Drosophila melanogaster: one gene and its partners. The protein of the gene in region 1 interacts with the protein of each later gene in a pairwise test. Each region holds a gene or a part of one and is shown on either strand. Other genes may lie near its edges.

The links.
Region 2: the proteins of cnc (region 1) and maf-S interact in a two-hybrid assay, tested with the Drosophila melanogaster proteins (3 studies listed by BioGRID, with this or other methods).
Region 3: the proteins of cnc (region 1) and CG16815 come close enough for resonance energy transfer, tested with the Drosophila melanogaster proteins (one study listed by BioGRID).
Region 4: the proteins of cnc (region 1) and Keap1 interact in a protein complementation assay, tested with the Drosophila melanogaster proteins (one study listed by BioGRID).

What each region holds. Positions count from the first base shown.
Region 1 is NT_033777.3:23,218,707-23,223,643, reverse strand, and holds the start of cnc (cap-n-collar), read left to right. Parts: upstream 1-1,682; 5' UTR 1,683-1,798; exon of another isoform or gene 1,799-1,882; intron 1,883-2,747; exon of another isoform or gene 2,748-3,000; 5' UTR 3,001-3,227; intron 3,228-4,394; 5' UTR 4,395-4,736; coding exon 4,737-4,937. UniProt on the Drosophila melanogaster protein: Plays a role in posterior cephalic patterning. Probable subunit of a heterodimeric regulatory protein involved in the control of head morphogenesis.
Region 2 is NT_033778.4:20,639,046-20,642,249, forward strand, and holds maf-S (maf-S), read left to right. Parts: upstream 1-1,930; 5' UTR 1,931-2,040; coding exon 2,041-2,073; intron 2,074-2,120; coding exon 2,121-2,501; 3' UTR 2,502-2,623; downstream 2,624-3,204. Other genes in the region: rig (rigor mortis), read right to left, coding at 1-46, 105-1,536; CG11110 (uncharacterized protein), read left to right, coding at 2,792-2,885, 2,951-3,204.
Region 3 is NT_033779.5:13,227,934-13,231,160, reverse strand, and holds CG16815 (uncharacterized protein), read right to left. Parts: upstream 1,330-3,227; 5' UTR 1,256-1,329; coding exon 677-1,255; 3' UTR 612-676; downstream 1-611. Other genes in the region: CG16813 (uncharacterized protein), read right to left, coding at 2,754-3,227.
Region 4 is NT_033777.3:17,073,357-17,080,090, reverse strand, and holds Keap1 (Keap1), read left to right. Parts: upstream 1-1,988; 5' UTR 1,989-2,185; coding exon 2,186-2,273; intron 2,274-3,197; coding exon 3,198-3,514; intron 3,515-3,588; coding exon 3,589-3,846; intron 3,847-3,905; coding exon 3,906-4,588; intron 4,589-4,704; coding exon 4,705-4,910; intron 4,911-4,974; coding exon 4,975-5,753; 3' UTR 5,754-6,149; downstream 6,150-6,734. Other genes in the region: mRpS11 (mitochondrial ribosomal protein S11), read right to left, coding at 6,356-6,463, 6,524-6,589.

The DNA of each region.
Region 1 (4,937 bases):
TGATACCTAATACTTTGTTCCCAAATCAATTGATAGATAATGAATGCCGTTTCCACGCGGTTATCTTTCTGGATTCTCGTGGGAGTTGATATTGTTGTTGGGCATCCACTGTACTTATCTACATTTGAATTTGTGTGAATGTGTGTAATTTTCTCAATAAATGGCAAATAAAACAAACCATTAGGTTGGCTATATCTCATTTTTGAATTCCACCCGTCGAAGTTCGCTTATCAGTTTTTATAGCTCATTTACAGTGAAAGTTCGATAAAGTTACTAGCAGGGAATTCGAAGAAATTAAAAATAAAATCACACGAGTATGGCTACTAAAATATATATGAATTTATTATATCTTTGATCTGTCACATTGATCAAAATGAGTAAAAACACATTTTCTTATACGCCGAAAACAAACTGTTTATATTTAATGTCGGAACAGAATTATTAAGTTCAAAACCACCATCCTAAAAAAAAGCCTAGTCAACCTAGTGACCCATCCTTATCTGTGTGTTCGCTTTCATTCCAGTTGACATATTGACTCATCACCATTTGTGCCAGCTGATAAGCAATAATGATCGACTTAGAGGATCTGCCTCGGCTGCAATCCTTGTCCCCGGCGAAGGACATCGAATATACCTACCACCAGACCCAATTGCAGCTGAATCCGAAGAAGAAGGTCACCGTCCGGGTGCCCATTGGACCACCCTCGAAGTTGAGTAAGCTGATTAAGCCCACGGTGGCTTCCACGCCCGCTGTACTGGCCAAGCCAACGCCATCCATCACCCAATCGACGACGCCAGGTAACGCCAAGACCAACATTTGGAAAGGTGGCTTCCATTTTACCAATCTGGTAAGTATTGAAAGGCTTCGGTGTTAATTACTTTATCCAAATGCCAGCACAAATGTTCCCAGTTCAGAACGCAATATATCTATAAATTACCCCCATCAATCTAAATTAATTTTTATGAGCAGGTCTTTTAGATAGATTGATAGTCTTCTAGCTATATTTTGAATTACACGTTCTGAATAGTGTGGCTATCTGTTTTATTGAGCAAGTCTAATACAAATGTATCCATTTGTGATATCAATAGCTAACGGAAGTTATTGTTAAGATATTTGTATTTTTGCATGCATGTAGAATATCAATATCAATATCATGAAAAAAAATTATTTTAAATTAATATTAAGGAAATATAAAACTATATATATCCCTTTATTTTTAATTTTAATACAAATTTCAACTTTGTTATGTAGAACTAGTTAAAAAAATGACTAATGCAAATTAACTGAAAAATTTGCATGGACACGTGTCAAAAGCTTATAAGCTTACACCATATCTACATAAAATTGCAATAGCCACCATGTCTACATAAGTTACTCTTAGGGAAAATATAAATATGTTCTTTATATTCTTAAGATATTCTTTCTAAAAACTAAATCTAGAAATAAAAGGTAGGTAATAAAGATACATTTGTAACCGAAATCTACATTTCTAGCTCTCCTTTAAAAAGCTCTTTCTGTCACTGTTAGTTTAAGCTACATTTAACATTTCTGTTAAAAGCACAATGTATTATGGTGAGACCGCACTTGGCGGCCCCGAAAAAAACCGCAAAAGCACAAAACTCAACAAAATCGTCTGCAAAGAGCCTCAACTGGGCACACTTGATAAAAGCACCGCGCTGGACAGACGTTTTTTGCCTCAAATGTTTTGAGGCCGCAATCGAAAATCGCGACTGATTTCGACGGCGGAGAAATTGCCAAACGCGGCGTAACAAACAAAACACGTTTTCAAGCTCACCACGTAGGTACGGCGGTTGGCGAAAGAGAGTAGCAAAGCGGACGCGACAATAATTTGCCAAATAACAGTGAAAGAAGACGCGTAAAGGTGCGAAGTACACGCCGCTTAAATTGTGTGTGTGTGTGTGTGCGTGTCTGGCTGCGTGTGCTTGTGTGCCGGAACAACAAATGAAAAAGTTTCGGTTGTGCGTTTAAGAACTACAGTTGCGAAATGTTGCATGCCCCACTAAATAAGTGCAACTCATTGTGTGGTGGTGGTACTGTCGGTGGGGGTGGTGGGTTAAAGGCAATCAAAACAACAACGACCAACAGGCTAGCAACAACAGTTATTCAGCAATCGCCCCCTCTCGCTCTCGCGCTCAGTCTCCCTCTCTCGCTCCCTCTCCACCGCTCAGCTGACAGAATGCAATCGAGAAAAACATCGAGTTAGAAAGAATAGGGAACGAAAAGGAACTAGCAATTTGATAAATAATTTGTTGATGCAAAGTGCAGAGTGAATGTTGAAATGCTGCCGTTGCCGGTTATTCTCTGCTCATTCTCGAAGCTTCCATATTTCATTTTTCCTATTTGTTTTGCTCTCCGCGATTCTCAGCAAAAAATTAAATCGTTTTGCATTTAATTAATTGCATTAATTGTGGGCACAGACCGAATTGGAATTGGCAAGAAAAAACAGCAGTTGTATGCTTCAACGTGTGCGTGTCTTTTTTTTTGGTGTGTGAGTCAGAGAGAGACGAGAATCGGGCGATAAAAGAAAACAAAGAAATACAAAGCAATGTGGAGGCAAAACACATGCAAATATTAGGCAGTGTAAAAACAACAAACGAAGCGAAAATATTATTGTTTTAACCCTTGATGGACTTGACAATTTTTTGTACCTTAACGTAGTTAAATAATTTTACAGCTGTCTTGAAAATCTTAACATACAAATGACTTCAAATTCTAATTTGACGTAGGTCCAATATAGGGTTAACAAATAAGTGACGATTTCACCACGTAAAACGGCACCACCACCACACACACTCTCACACAAAAGTGCGTACCAGACGGCGAGAAAGAAGCACCAGGTGGCACATAATCAAATATCAATTGTTATTAATATTTAATGGCACTTGAATGCAAATTGTCTGCAGAAGAGAAAGTTCAAGGACGCAGACAAGCGAAATATATATTTAAAGTTGTTAAATAAATAAAACGCGTGTTTTCCAGCAATTAAAAGTAAAAATCGTAGAAAGTGAAACATAAACAAATAAGGTCTTGCAGAGCAAAAGAAAAGTGAACGGTAAACAATAAACCATTGTGTGTGCTGCAGGGAAGAAGAAGCAGCGAAGAGGAAAAGAAGATCAAGCAACGGCAACAACAACAAGGAGAACATTTACTGCGCCGCAGCTTTTTTACCGTTGTAGTCGGGTCTCATCATCCAAAAAAAATTTGAGGTGAGTGCACTGCAATACAGCCACAATCACACGCACACCCACACAAGAACCCTCTCTTGCACGCACATGCACACGTCATTTCCCTACCCCTCTCTTTCTCTCTCTCGCGCACATCTTTTCATTGAGAATTGAGCCAAATAAAGTTTGGATTTTTGTTAAAATGGCTTTAAACAAAGAAAGTTTATATCGAACCTTGAAAGAATTTTGCACACAATTTTTTCGTCCGTCCTTGAATCGGGTGCTTCACTTCGCATTGCGCACATTTCAAATGCTCGCGAGAGACCTTGAACAAGTTCAAGTTCAAAGCCATTTCGTCTGGGTCTGGGTCATTCCTTCCGCCTCACGCCCCCCTTTTTCGGGTGGGCGGTTGTCTGTTAACCTTGTTTAAGGGGGGGGGGGGTGTGTGTGTGGCTGGACAGGATGGGCATATTAAATGCGTTGTGGATATCAAACAGAATTCGGACAAAACAACAACCAAAGAAGGATACATGCATATATGTATTTATGTATTATACACACATATTTCGGAAAATTCGATTCTTGACCTGCTTAATTGTCTCTGAATATGAAATTAACTATGCTGAAATGCGCTAGGTCATCATCATAACAGCCTTTCTAGGCTATCCACTTTGGTTTGGTATGAAAACAAACTATGTGTTGTGTTTCTGTAGCAAAACCTTGTTAGTGTTTCTGCACATTTATAATTTCAAGTTTAAATAATAGAGATAAGGGATGTTTCCTTACGACAATCTTTCATTTATTTTAATATCTCTCGAAAGTATTACTTATGTACCTTAACTACATAATTGCGAACAGAAAAACATAATTGTGTTCGTTTTTGCTAAATAAATATGAATCCTAATATAATCGCGATGTGGAAATTAGATGTGTTTTTAATAAAAGACGTTACCGACCCGGAAGTTGAACTTTCTTTGGTGCACTTCCTCGTGCTTAGCAATTTATAAAATCGACTGGCAAACAAAACAAAGGCTGCACCACTCGAAACAAAAGCATTTTCATTTAACATTCAAACTGCATATATGGCCATGCGGCAATGTATGAATATTACACTACATATCTACATACTTGCATATGTACATATAGTTAGCAAATCGTTATGCTTACTAATTCCATTCTATTTGTTGTCACATCTTGATTTGCTTACAGAACAAAACCGAGGACAGCCATCAATTAAAAGCAAAGAGCATTGGAAAATCGGGGAGATAGGCCGTGGAAACTGCGAATTTTCAGCTTTTTGCGCAGATTTCGGAACGCCGAAGGAGGAGGAGGAGGAGGAGGCCGGAAGGCGGGGCAAGGCGACGTCATTGAACGCATAGATCCCGGACGACGCAGCCGTAGAGCTGTTGTCCGGGACGGAGAACAACAAGAACAACAGCAGCGGAGGAGGAGGAGGAGGAGGAGGAGGCGGCGGGCGGAGGTGGACTACGGACTACAAGAGTCACCCACGCACCCATTCGCTCACGTATCGAAACCTCTGAAAGCAACAAAATGATCTCAAACAAAAAATCGTACGCTATGAAAATGCTGCAGCTGGCTTTGGCCTTGAGTCTGCTGCATTATAATCCCGATTACCTGCTCCATCGCTGGGACTCGCAGCTGGAATTGGGCACCCATGGCGATGGATGGGAGCTGGAGATGCTGCGGACGGTACACCGCCTGGATATGGATCACAACCCGTATGGAAATCGT
Region 2 (3,204 bases), on another chromosome or scaffold:
GAAACAATGACATGGTTGTTCAGCCAGTAGACGTTGTTAAGCTTGCCTGAAGAAAAGATCCCAGTTGAATGCTTGCTTTCAATGGTTTGATTCTTTCCACTTACCCGCCGTCTTGCTTTTGCTGTAGTTCTTGCCAGCATGCGCTCCCGTATTGGTATTCCAGATCATCATCACCTCATCGCCGTCAATGGACACGAGCAGAGTTTCCAAGTGGGTGCTGTTCACGGATGTCAAGCTGATGGTCTCCGCGCTGATGGCCGGCACAACTTGGAGATTACTCTGAGGCTCAGACTTGGTCTGCGGTGTTCCTGAAGCATGTACCTCGGCCTGGTGGTAGATGTGATGCAATACTTCTCTTTTGGGCTTTGCTGCCTCGCCATCGACGATCACGGCATCATCACTGGACGAGCTGTACTGGATGACCTCCAGACTGCCCTCGGTCGAGTCGCTGGCATCGTTCTTGTTGCTAATGGTGCTGGCATCACTTAAGGGACCCGTAGGCTTTGTGGGCTCGCAGTCATGCAGCGTGACCTCCACGTGCTGCGTTTTATCCTCCTGGCGACTGGCTAAGAGTTCGGCTTTCACACTCTCGCAGGCCTCAACGAAATCTAAGACAGCGGCACCAGCTGGCTTCTCTAGACCCACAAATTCGCCGCCACAATCCTCTGAAGATTTGCGGCGGCGTTCAGCTATAGGTGCACCGAACTCGTACTCAAGATGATCAAAGTTGTATATGTCGAAAGGGTCGTCGGATTCGGCTGCCTTCGATTTGGTCAGTGGTGGTGGCTTTGTCTTGGGTTTCTCCTCCTGGCCGCCATTGCGGCTTCGCCACTCTTCAGCACTTAACGCCAGATTATTGGTTTTTTCGTCCTCGGCAGCAGGCACCTCCCGCCAGGCTAAGCCGCATATGGGCGCTTTGTGGCCGTGGAACTTGTAGACGATGTTCATTTTGCGCAGATCGCAGACCAGCACATTACCCATAGCCGTTCCCACAGCGAACAAATTGTCATTGTAGGGCGAGCAGCGCACCATAGTGAGTTGGTGATTTCGGGGCGAGATGAAAGTGGAGCGACGGCAGTAGGTGTTGGATGCCACACAATAGATGACCAGATCACTGGCGTCCATGGATAGAATGTTACCATTGGCCAGGTAGCTCATCAGCACGGAGTTGGTAGTGTGGTGCACGACGCGCACATCCCGCGCCTCGTGCTGGTGCTGATGGGCCTTGTGCCCGATGACGGCTTCGCCCAATGCGCAGTCCCACACCTGAACGCTTAGATCGTCGCCCACAATGGCGAATGGCTTGGTCGGCCCACCGTTGCCCAAGCCCCACATGGGACTAACGTCCAGGGCCAGTATGTTGATCCGCGTCGACATGGTCACCACTTGGGGCTGCTCTCCGTTTGCCGGCGGCGCGGATATGTAGTTGATGCAGCGAATGCCGGCGTACAGCAAACCGCCGTCGGGAGCAGCGGCCGCCAAAGATACGTTGCCCGGCGGTGTGGGCACATTGTGGTACATCACCTGCGAGTTCATGGCGAACAATAAGGACTTGGCATCTGCAGGATGAAGGAATATTTCCCGCTAACAGTTGGCGTCGTTCGGGGAAAAAACTTCTGTAAAGCTGTTAGTGTTAGGCAGCTTCTTAAACTTTGCCAGCGATGCCACCTGGAAGGCACGGAACTTAACAGTTAATTAAAATTGATAATAATTAAAATATAAATTTGTTATTTTCGAACTTGTATTTATAACAAAAATCTGGATCTGCTTTATATAAATAATTTAAAAATATAACTAAGTACCTTATGCTACAAAGCCTAAAATCTAGGGATCACGTTAGCTTTAGTATATTTAAATTACCCGCTATTTACCACAGACGTTTTTTGTCTATCTGCCAACTCTATGCAATCCATTTCCTGTGAATGGCAACCAGCAGGTAGAGAGGAAGAAGAAGACACACAATAACAACGCAAAAAAAAAAGGTAGAAAAATCTAGCAAATTCTAAAAGTCTCCGTAAAAATAAAATACAATCGGCCACAATGGAAGCAAAGCGCGAGAGAAAGTCATCCCTGGTACGTACCTTGTAGATATATGCGAAGAAGAAAGAAAACCCTGATAGAAGTGCGATTTTCAGGCACCACTTTCGCCATGTCCAATTCCGGATATTACCGATGACGATTTGGTGAGCATTTCGGTAAGGGATCTTAATCGGACCCTCAAGATGCGTGGCCTGAACCGCGAGGAGATCGTTCGGATGAAGCAGCGCCGGAGAACCTTAAAGAATCGCGGATACGCAGCCAGTTGCCGCATCAAGAGAATCGAACAGAAGGACGAGCTGGAGACTAAGAAGTCGTACGAGTGGACGGAACTGGAGCAGATGCACGAGGACAACGAGCAGGTGCGCCGCGAGGTGTCCAACTGGAAGAACAAGTACAAGGCGCTGCTGCAGTTCGCCATCCAGAACGAGATACCCATTCCCAGCGAGCTGGAGGGCTGCTGAACGATTGCCCAGTCACATTCCTGTTTCTGTCAAAATTACAATAAACCCAAAACGGAAAAAAACACCTGTAACTAAAGTACAATAGCTGGCAAATATCCTTCCTCAATAAACGTAATCTGCTCAAGAACCTCTGCATCGCCTTTATTGAAGCACCCTGTATTTAGCATAAACAAAACCCGTGTCGGCGCTGCGCTGCGAATGTCATAAGATCCGGAGCGCACAAGGAACTCGGCAAAAGGCTGGTGGTTATGTATTCATCTCGATAGCTCCGCTCTCCAACCAGTTCATCCATGGCATTTCGGTTCTTTGGCAAGTCCTTGCTGTACGCTCTGCCACTTGGCGTCACTTTCCTGGACTGCGTTGGTTATGTGGCCAGGGTGGATGGTGAGTCGTCCGGAGTTTATTCGCTCCATGTTAGTGTGCGCTAATTAATCCACAACTTTTTGCAGGCATCTCCATGCAGCCCGCTCTCAATCCCGTGCCGGATGAAAAGGACTATGTGTTCCTGCTGCGCTGGGGCACCCACAACAGTCAGGTGGAGCGCGGCGACATAATATCGCTCATTTCACCCAAGGATCCCGCCCAGAAGATTATCAAGCGCGTGGTGGGGCTGCAGGGCGACGTCGTGTCCACGCTGGGCTACAAGCACGAGATCGTTCGCGTACCCGAAGGACATTGTTGGGTGGAGGGCGATCACACAGGC
Region 3 (3,227 bases), on another chromosome or scaffold:
TGAACCTTGACGAAAGCCGCCACGAAATGAGAACGCCATGAAAATTAGCTAGACAACAATTAGTTGAACTTTGCTGGGTAATGGCACTCTGGGTAAATGGTTTCTCGGAAAAATCTGTCAATGCTTCGATGACTCACTTACTCCAGTGGTCAGACAAGTCACTGGAGTAAGTGGTTTTTGAGCCCTTGATTGAGCCCTTTTTTACCAAAAGTCATATCAAATAATAGATAATCTACTTTTGATAGCAGTACTTTTAGTTTTATTGAGCTAAAAATTATACCATAAATTTTATATATTATGATCACGATTAGGTTGTAATTAAATTAGAAATGATAATTGATCTCTTAATCATTTTATATAATTTTACTATTTTTCAAGCCGGTGGGTTAACTTAAAGATGTTTAAAATCCTAATATATATAGCATTATTATACATATGTAAAAAAATGTAATGGTTGCGATCCACTGACCTCCTAACAAATTTAACAATCATTTTAGATTAAATTTCGAATTTTCCAAGTGATAACCCCCAGTTAACAAAACCGGCAATTTAAATTAAATGCATAACTTTTGATTTATTTCAAAGTCAACAATAAATATTAATAATTAAGGCTTAATAAACTAAATCACATGATTGGGCTATCCATAGTCGCTGATTATGATATGATTTTGGACGGTCAGCAGTGCTGGCCACCAAAGATGAGCATCTGCTGGGAGAGGGCCATCTGCTGGAGGAACTGTTGTTGCTGCTGCGGCAGGATGTGACCCGGTGCCGGATTTATGGCACGCTGGAACACCGCCTGTTGGAGGATGTGGCGGTAGTATAGACTGAGGCGCACCTGCTGTTCCAGCATGGCGGCATGATGACTCCGATACTGCTCGTACTGCTGACCCACTTGCTCCTCCTGTGCCTGCTTGGCCCGCCGGCTGAGTAGGCAAGCCAGCGTGTTTCTATCGCGGCGCATCTGCTCCTTGGGGCTTCGCTGACGATTGGTGTTACTGCGGCGCACCATGTTGGCACGGTACTGGCTGACCGAGGATCCTGGGCCACTGGGTTTCGCCGCCGTTGACGTCTCCTTCTCCGCCTGTTGGTTCTGCTCATTATCCAACCAAGGTCGGAAGAATCCCTGTGTCTGACGGCGCTTGAAGATCGGCTGTTCCGACTGCTGAGTTTGGTTCTCCTTGTCATGGTCCACTTCCCGTTTCCGCTTGCTGACGGCAAACTTCTTGTGGGTGTAGCTCGATGAGTTCTCCATTTTTGTATTTCGATAATATGACTCCGAATGAGTTGTGGTGATGATGTGACTCGTTGGACGATCGCTTGCTGAATGATTGGCTTCGAGATTGATATCCTGGTTATAAGCACAGTAGGTAGGCGGTACAGGTAGCCACATAGGGAAATCCCTTTGTTTTGGGTCTGTCAACAAAGGGATTAGCGCATCCATTCCGCATTAGGTAATCTCCGTCCTGGATTAAGCAGCATATTTTATGACCTGCTCTATCACAGCGCTAATTGTCGTCGCAGGATTGCCTCATTATCCTTTTTTTGGTGTGTGGATTACCTGGATTATCGGACAAATGTGGCCACCGGAACAGGAAAGTTCTGGACCGAACAACTGTTATGCAGGCGATGCATTTTTTTATTGACCTGCATGACACAATTTGTTGTGGCACCGTGTGTGGTCCCTTTGGCTCCTGGTTCCTCAGCACACTTTGTTTTAATTCCCTGGAAATTCTCGAGGGTCCTTTGCCGAACACTTTTCCTCTAGAATGACATGGCATTATATGTCCTGGTCGGTGGTTAGAAAAAAGTGTCAAGGATTTTTAAAGACTGCTGACAGATGCGATTTCAGTTTACGGAGAAGGAATTGCATTCATGGAAGTCTTGAGAGGTGAATTAAATATATTTAATCCATTTATTAGTTTAGGTAGTAAAACACGCCTTTAAAAATATTTAAAGAGTTAAATAAACTTCGTACAAACATGTATACGGCATATATCATATATATAAATGAATTAGTAAAACACTATTCGTGTAAATAATTTAGTATATTAAGATTTATTTATCTGCGCAATTTTTAATCGCGGACAACAATATGATGATTTCATTGATGATTATTTAAATATAAAGGCGGATCTTATTGTCACCGTGTTTTAATTATTTTGCAAGCACTTTGTTCGTTCGCTATGCTGATTTGTTTATAAATTAAATAATTAAATCCAACTGAAATAAATTACAATTTTATTCCGTGTTTCCCACAATATGTCACTCGTGCCGAATCGATTCAATTCTCACTGTAGTCTGGCTATGTGAATCACTAGAATTACTTCACACCTTAATTAGCATTGCAAATTGCGCTTCCAAGAAATTAATTACATAAGATGTATTTAATGTTATATAATGGCAGAAAAACCAAGTGAGGTAACTCTTATGAGCTGATGCTTCCGGTCAGTTTTGGTCTAGAACAAATCCTCATGATGTTAAACGGCGGAAAAGAAATATCAGACTTCCAAATAAGATTCAATAAATAAGACCCCGAGTTAGATTTCAATCAATCAGAAACCAACTAAAAACCAATTATTACAAAATTCTATAAAAATTACAAGTTATTTCGATAACAATTAGTGTGTTTATTGTTTAGTCAACCAGATAAATAAATTAAACTTTAAAAGTAATCACAATCACTATTCAGCTTTTCTACAATAAGTTAGGGCGCATTGAGCAGCGCCCAGTCGTTGCACCATGTCCACCCTTCAAGGATGCTGGGTGGTGGTCTGTTGGCGCGGCATCATGTGCCTTGGCTGTGTGGGAGGCAGTGGCTCCGTGGAGGCCATCGCCTGCTGCAGGAAGCGCACATAGTAGAGACTCAGGCGGATCTGCTGCTGCAGATTGGCCTCGTGCTGAATGCGACTGGTCAGGTATTGTTGTTCGATGAGCTGCTGCTGTTGCTGCTGGGAGCGTCGATGGCGCAGGCTGGCCAAGGTGTTGCGATCCCGACGCAGTTGCTCCTGTGGACTGCGCTGGCGGCGCTTGTGGTGATTGCGCACCATGTTAGCGTGGTAGGTGCCATCCACTTGTTGTGGCGGCGGTGTCGATGTAGCCACAATCTTACGTGGCGGCTGTGGTTGCTCCTCTTCCGGAGACTCATCCATCCAGGGTCGGAAGAAGCGACGCTTAGGCTGCGGCTGCTCTGGAGTGCGTTGGCCCGGCTGTTCCATAATGAAGAC
Region 4 (6,734 bases), 6.1 Mb from region 1:
AACCAACTTTAAAGTTGTAATAATTAAAATTGTTTGTAAATGTGGTTTAATATCATGTATACCATTTATTTTATAAATATCCACCAGCTGGTTGGACATCTGGCAACTCCTGTCATTACATGCTTTCAGTGTCGAGCGTTTTCCAGCACTTGCATGTTTACCTTAAGAAGAAGAGTAGAAAAAATCGTTGTGTAGTGGCAAAATAAATAAATACAGATGTGAGTAGCAGTAAATAAAACATACAAAGTGCAAAAAAGGCATAAAAAGTGCATGACCCTCGCATAGTTTAGTTTCCAGCTGGGAAACCTTTTATTTGTCTACGATCGTACATTTATCTGCATGTGAAAACCTCAATGAAACAAAGGGAGAAATTAACGGTGTATTTTCCCAGCCGATTTACGTGGTTATATACATAAATATATGAAGTATCTGTGAGATCTTGAAATCCCTGGTGATAAAGTGTAAATGTTTGTCCTGCATTGCGGTAATCTCTTACAACAAAGTGGTTTGTTTTAAGTGGCCTTCTTTCGAGTTCAGTTTCAATGGCCTTTATCAGCTGTTTGGCACATGGCGTTGGAAGTGCGGGTGTGTGTATGTATGTAAATAGTATGTACAGTACGTACGTGTGTGCAAGGGTGACAGCTGTCGCCCCAGGGAGAGCAATGTAAGTGAGTAATATTTGTTTATGTGAAAGCAAAGTTCAACGGTACCTGCAAACACACAAACACACATCCCCAACATCCGTGCTGATTACGCTGCTGTTTTCACCTACACCGACGTACCACTGTGACAGTGTGTAAGGTTTTGCCTCTTCAGCATGATTCGGCACTATTTCGTCCAGTTTTTGCCTTTATCATTCATTTACCAACAACCAACTCAGCGTCACTTTATGCGGAAATTTAAAGCCGCACTTTGATGAACTAATGTTATTAAAGGGCGTGGATTTTCCAAAGTACGTTTGATTCGCCATAATACTTATATGGGATTTTTGGCGGGGGAAGTCCCTTTTGCCCTTATCTGATTAAACAAAAATATTTGTGTAGTACATATGTAGTGGTTTTAATTTGGTGATTCAGATAAGAAAAACATACGATAAATTTTAAACGTTTTGTAAACATTTCTCTAGAATAAATAATAAAATTAAAGGATAATCTTTGAAAGGGTTTTGTGTCTTAATATTATTAAATGAAAAAAAAAAATATTTCATTATTGTAGTTACTTCATTTAATGCGAAAAATTTTTTTAAGTGTGTATCAGTGATATTAATATTTCTATCGTCATGTGTATAAGGCGTTCATAAATTGAAATTGTTTTGGGAACATGACTTGATACTTCAAAATTTATTGCCTTTTCAATTGAGCTTGGTAACAATGATTAATCGGATATACCGTACAATATTGTGTATATGGCCATTTATGTTGTGAAATTCCCTTAAGACAGAACTCCGATCATGACTAAAATACTATGCAATAAAAAATAGAGAGACGTAATCTCTTTTAAACATATTCCACGATATGCGCATACGAAATTAGCTTAGCTTTTTGTTTTGATTGTATTCAATAGTTCATTTGGCACGGACTTTGAACACATTTTAGCTATCTTTTGAACAAAACGAAATTCCTAACTGCTTGCATGACACGCGTAATTTTTTTGCAAACGCTGTGTAGCCTGAGGCTCCATACAAAAACCTGTTGCTGGTAAACATGGTAAACAATTATGTTTGCCATCGGTTACGATTTGTGAGCATCATCGTTACGGTCCAAAAAACCGCCCACGGGCCGTGCGTTTCATTCATGGCATTATATAGTTTTTATCGCCACAACACGGAGTGTATTCACCTGGAAGGGCCACATAGAACTCAGGCACATGTGTGCACACACACACATATGTAAGCATGATAACGCTCTTTGAAACGCTCCCCCCACTCCGCCACCATCCCCGCGAGAGATAAGTCTCGGTGGGCTCTGTGGCTGGGCAGACGCAGACCACGGCAGTCAGTTGACGGGCTCTCTCCACGGCACACGCATGATCGCCGGAGCGGATTTGCGGAGAAGCAGCTGATCGCGCGCTTTCATTTTCACACGGACTTTCAGTCTTTGTTTGCGAAACTATTGATTATTGAAACTATCTCTACCGAACTAACGAAGCTGTGAAGGATCCCTATCGATCCGAGATTAGTGCCAAAATGCAAACCCAAATGCACTCGCCCATGCAATATGAGACCCACATCTCCGACATGCCCAACCACAAGGGATACCCCTGCCGCCCAGAAGGTTGGTTTTTTTTAAAGTTCTGGATTTGACCTTGGGTCTACAGTTCAATTCGCAACAAGTTTGCCAGATATTTTCGCTACGCGTGCTTTTGGTAAAAAAAAAAGAAACCACTGATCATGACGGTGCGCATTGCGAATCAAGTTCTCTGAAACAGCCCACAATGATTGGCGAAAACGATTCCAGATTGTGCTACAGTGAAGTCACTTGTAGTTGAATGTGAGATGATAAAAATTAATGGAGTGAAACGGCACTTATCCAGGTTGCATTGCTCGATTTGGACGTTTGAATAATTAGAGACATTTGAAATATTATCGCGAAAGAAACTGGTTTGTGTTGACAATGCAAATTCCGGTTGGCAATGTAGTATCCATTCGAAAGAGTGTTCTTGAAATAAACAGATAATTTACCTTAATCTTATCTTAGTTTTCTAATCGAGAGCTTATAAATCTTTAAGCCCAATTTACCAAATTACCAACTCATAAACTTACCAACTTATTCGCATTCAAAAACAAAATAAATGACCGCTTTAATTTCTAGAACGTATTAAAGGTCGGTCGTATCTAACCTTTCGGTTATCTTGGATATCCATAATATAGTACGTCATTTCACACTTGGAGGATTTCTTTAAAGTGCCATTTTTAATTTTTTTGCAAATTCATAACAGATTAGATAATAAAATAGAATAAATAGCCCGCGCTGATTGTCGATCTATTTGCGATGGATGAGGTACGAGGTACAAGGGTTACAGGGCTCAACTGTAGGGCGTGTATTGGTTTTAAGATTAATAATAATTAATAATAATTAATTACTATTTAATATAATTATTAATTATTATTAAATTAATTGTTAAATAATTAAAATTAATTGAATATTTTCTGAAATATGTCCTGGAATTACAATATGATCTATTCCTCGATTTTCCAGAGGCTGAGATGAGCAACACTTCGGAAAGTTGTTCCATCTCATGCGGTGGTCGATTCGGATCGGCGCACTCGACCCTAGATGATCACGATGCTACGGATGATGACATGACCTTCTGCATGTCCAATTACGCCAAGGAGGCCCTGAAGATGATGTACATGATGCGTTCGCACGGCATGCTCACGGACGTGGTACTCGAGGTGAAGAAGGAGCTCTTTCCCGCCCACAAAGTGGTGCTGTCGGCGGCATCGCCCTACTTCAAGGCCATGTTCACGGGGGGACTCAAGGAGTCGGAGATGTCGCGCGTCCAGCTCCAAGGGGTAAGTTGAGCTCAAGCGCGGCCCTTAATTGGTTGGTTTAATGGATGAACAGTTCGTCCGTTTCGGTGTTACAGGTGTGTCCCACGGCCATGTCACGCATCCTCTACTTCATGTACACCGGCCAAATACGTGTGACCGAGGTAACGGTGTGCCAACTCCTGCCCGCGGCCACCATGTTCCAAGTGCCAAACGTAATCGATGCCTGCTGTGCCTTTCTGGAGCGCCAATTGGATCCCACGAATGCCATTGGCATCGCCCACTTTGCTGAGCAACACGGCTGTGTTGAGCTGCAAAAGAAGGCCAATGTGTTTATTGAGCGAAATTTCACTCAGGTAACCTATTTACGATATGAAAAGAGTACACAAAACTATAGCTACTGAGTTCCCCTAAGGTGTGCCAAGAGGAGGAATTCCTGCAGCTTTCGGCATATCAGTTGATTGCCCTGATACGAAGGGATGAACTGAATGTGCAGGAGGAGCGAGAGGTTTACAACGCTGTGCTAAAGTGGGTGAAATACGACGAGGACAATCGACACTGTAAAATGGAGCACATTTTGGGCGCTGTCCGTTGTCAGTTCCTTACGCCCAACTTCCTCAAGGAGCAGATGAAAAACTGCGATGTTCTGCGAAAGGTGCCCGCCTGTCGGGAGTATTTGGCCAAGATCTTTAAGGACTTAACGCTGCACAAGTGTCCAGGAGTCAAGGAACGAACCCCCAACACCACAAGGATGATATTTGTCGCCGGTGGCTTTTTTCGTCACTCACTGGACATTCTGGAGGCCTACAATGTAGACGACATGACGTGGACGACACTGGCAAATCTACGCATTCCAAGATCTGGTTTGGGTGCCGCCTTTCTCAAGGGCAAGTTCTATGCGGTTGGAGGCAGAAATAACAACATTGGATCTTCCTACGACTCGGATTGGGTGGATCGCTATAGTGCAGTCACCGAAACATGGCGTCCGTGCGCTCCCATGTCCGTGCCACGCCATCGAGTGGGCGTGGCCGTGATGGACGAGCTGATGTACGCCGTAGGCGGGTCCGCCGGCATGGAGTACCACAACACGGTGGAATAGTAAGTAGTGTTCATCATTTCAATAGATAATAGTTTAATTAATTTGACAAAGCCTTTCTGGTTGTTTATTCTATCGACATAGTTTAGCAAACCCTATTTATTTAAATCTCTTGCAGCTATGACCCCGATTTGGATCGCTGGACTCTTGTACAGCCGATGCATGCCAAGCGCTTGGGAGTGGGTGTTGTGGTGGTCAACCGTCTGCTTTATGCCATCGGAGGTTTCGATGGAAACGAGCGCTTGGCCAGCGTGGAGTGCTACCATCCGGAGAACAATGAGTGGAGTTTTTTGCCACCACTACAAACGGGTCGCAGTGGAGCGGGTAAGAATGACTGGCGCATCCTGTTATCTAATTTCCAACTAAGTTCCGATTTAATTGCTATCAGGTGTTGCTGCAATTAACCAGTACATCTACGTTGTTGGTGGCTTCGATGGCACCCGTCAACTAGCCACCGTGGAGCGTTATGATACCGAAAACGATACCTGGGACATGGTTGCGCCAATTCAAATCGCACGCAGTGCTCTCTCGCTGACTCCGCTGGACGAAAAACTGTACGCCATTGGTGGATTCGATGGCAACAACTTTCTGTCCATAGTCGAGGTCTACGATCCACGAACAAATACGTGGACAACAGGAACACCACTAAAATCGGGAAGATCGGGTCATGCGTCGGCGGTTATTTATCAGCCGGCGTGTTCCACCACGTTTATGGACTACGAAGATAGTGACGCCCCACACCCGGATGGAAGTAACAACGGGGAAAGGAATGCTCATACACCACAAAACACGTACGGCAGTGGGAGTCCACATTATCCTGGGACGGCGTCCAATATGCAGTTTCATACTTCATACGGAATGAGCGGCTGCAACAATTGTGACTCGGAAATGGATATAAAACCATATATTCCTGCAGAACACCATAGTTTTCAAATTCCCGCCATTAGATCCGAGGAGCTAGTCAATCCAAACTGTCCTTGGTCCAGAATGCAGGAAAGATTTCGAAGAACTCCACCAGCGTCTTTCACAGATGATGAGAGAAATGCTAATGATATGCGGCATAAATTAAAAAAAGCACAAAAAGAATGTTTATTTAGCACAGCAGCGAAAGTTTTTCACCATCACATCGAAGGTCGCCTGCGAAAACTCACGAGCGCAGCCACATGACAATACGAATCCGAGCCTCACGCTTAGCCTCAACCAAAAACATCATTCATTGTACAAAGCCTGATCGTATCCCCTAGAATTCCATGTTGAGAAGCAGCATTCCATTGTAATATTACTTACTAGTGTGTTCGCTAGGTGATAATTAGTCAAACCGTTTTTATGGCATCCATAACATAACTGGCGCTCGTCAGCCCATTTTAAAAAGATTGATTAGGGTTAATAGTTGATTAGTGGGAGGAAAGTTCGTATTTTACGTATTTTGTAGGTATCCAAACTGATAGATTGCGTATTGTACTTTTTTTAACGTAGGATAAGAAGAGGAATTATGCGCATCCAAAATAGGTTTTAAGAAAAGAAAGCAAATAATTTAAGAAAAATAAAACAAACATATTTTACAAAGTTATTTAATCTTTTTGCTATTAATCTTGTGCAAACCTTTGGCCGTGGCAACAAAAAGGCCATATTCAAATATCTTCCTAATAAAACTCACCGTGACAGTGCTATTTATTCCATTAGAAAGATAAACTGTTGTTTTCGTATTTGTTTGTAAACGACTATTTGTGTATTTTGCTTTTAAACAAGTTGTCTTAACAAGTTGCACATTAAAGACTTCTCTGCTTTCGGGGTCTTGGAGGATTGAAGGAAACATGTGTGTTGTCGGTAATGGAAACGATGTTCAGCCCACCCATTTGCAGTCCTTTGATGGCCGACTGAATCAAAACATTTAATTATTTTTAAGTGACATGAGAGACAAAAAGTATTGAACATACCATTCTTCCAGGGCCAAGACCACGAACCTTTACTCGCACTGTCTTCCAGCCCAATTCAATGGCTTTCTGAAATACAATTTAAGTTTTTTGTTTTAAATGATTCTATGCCCATATTATACTATTCAAATGCATATATGGTATACAACTATAATGGAGATTATCTCGATGTTCTATGTAGTTTTTGACCATCCTACTTTGGTAAAACCTGTTT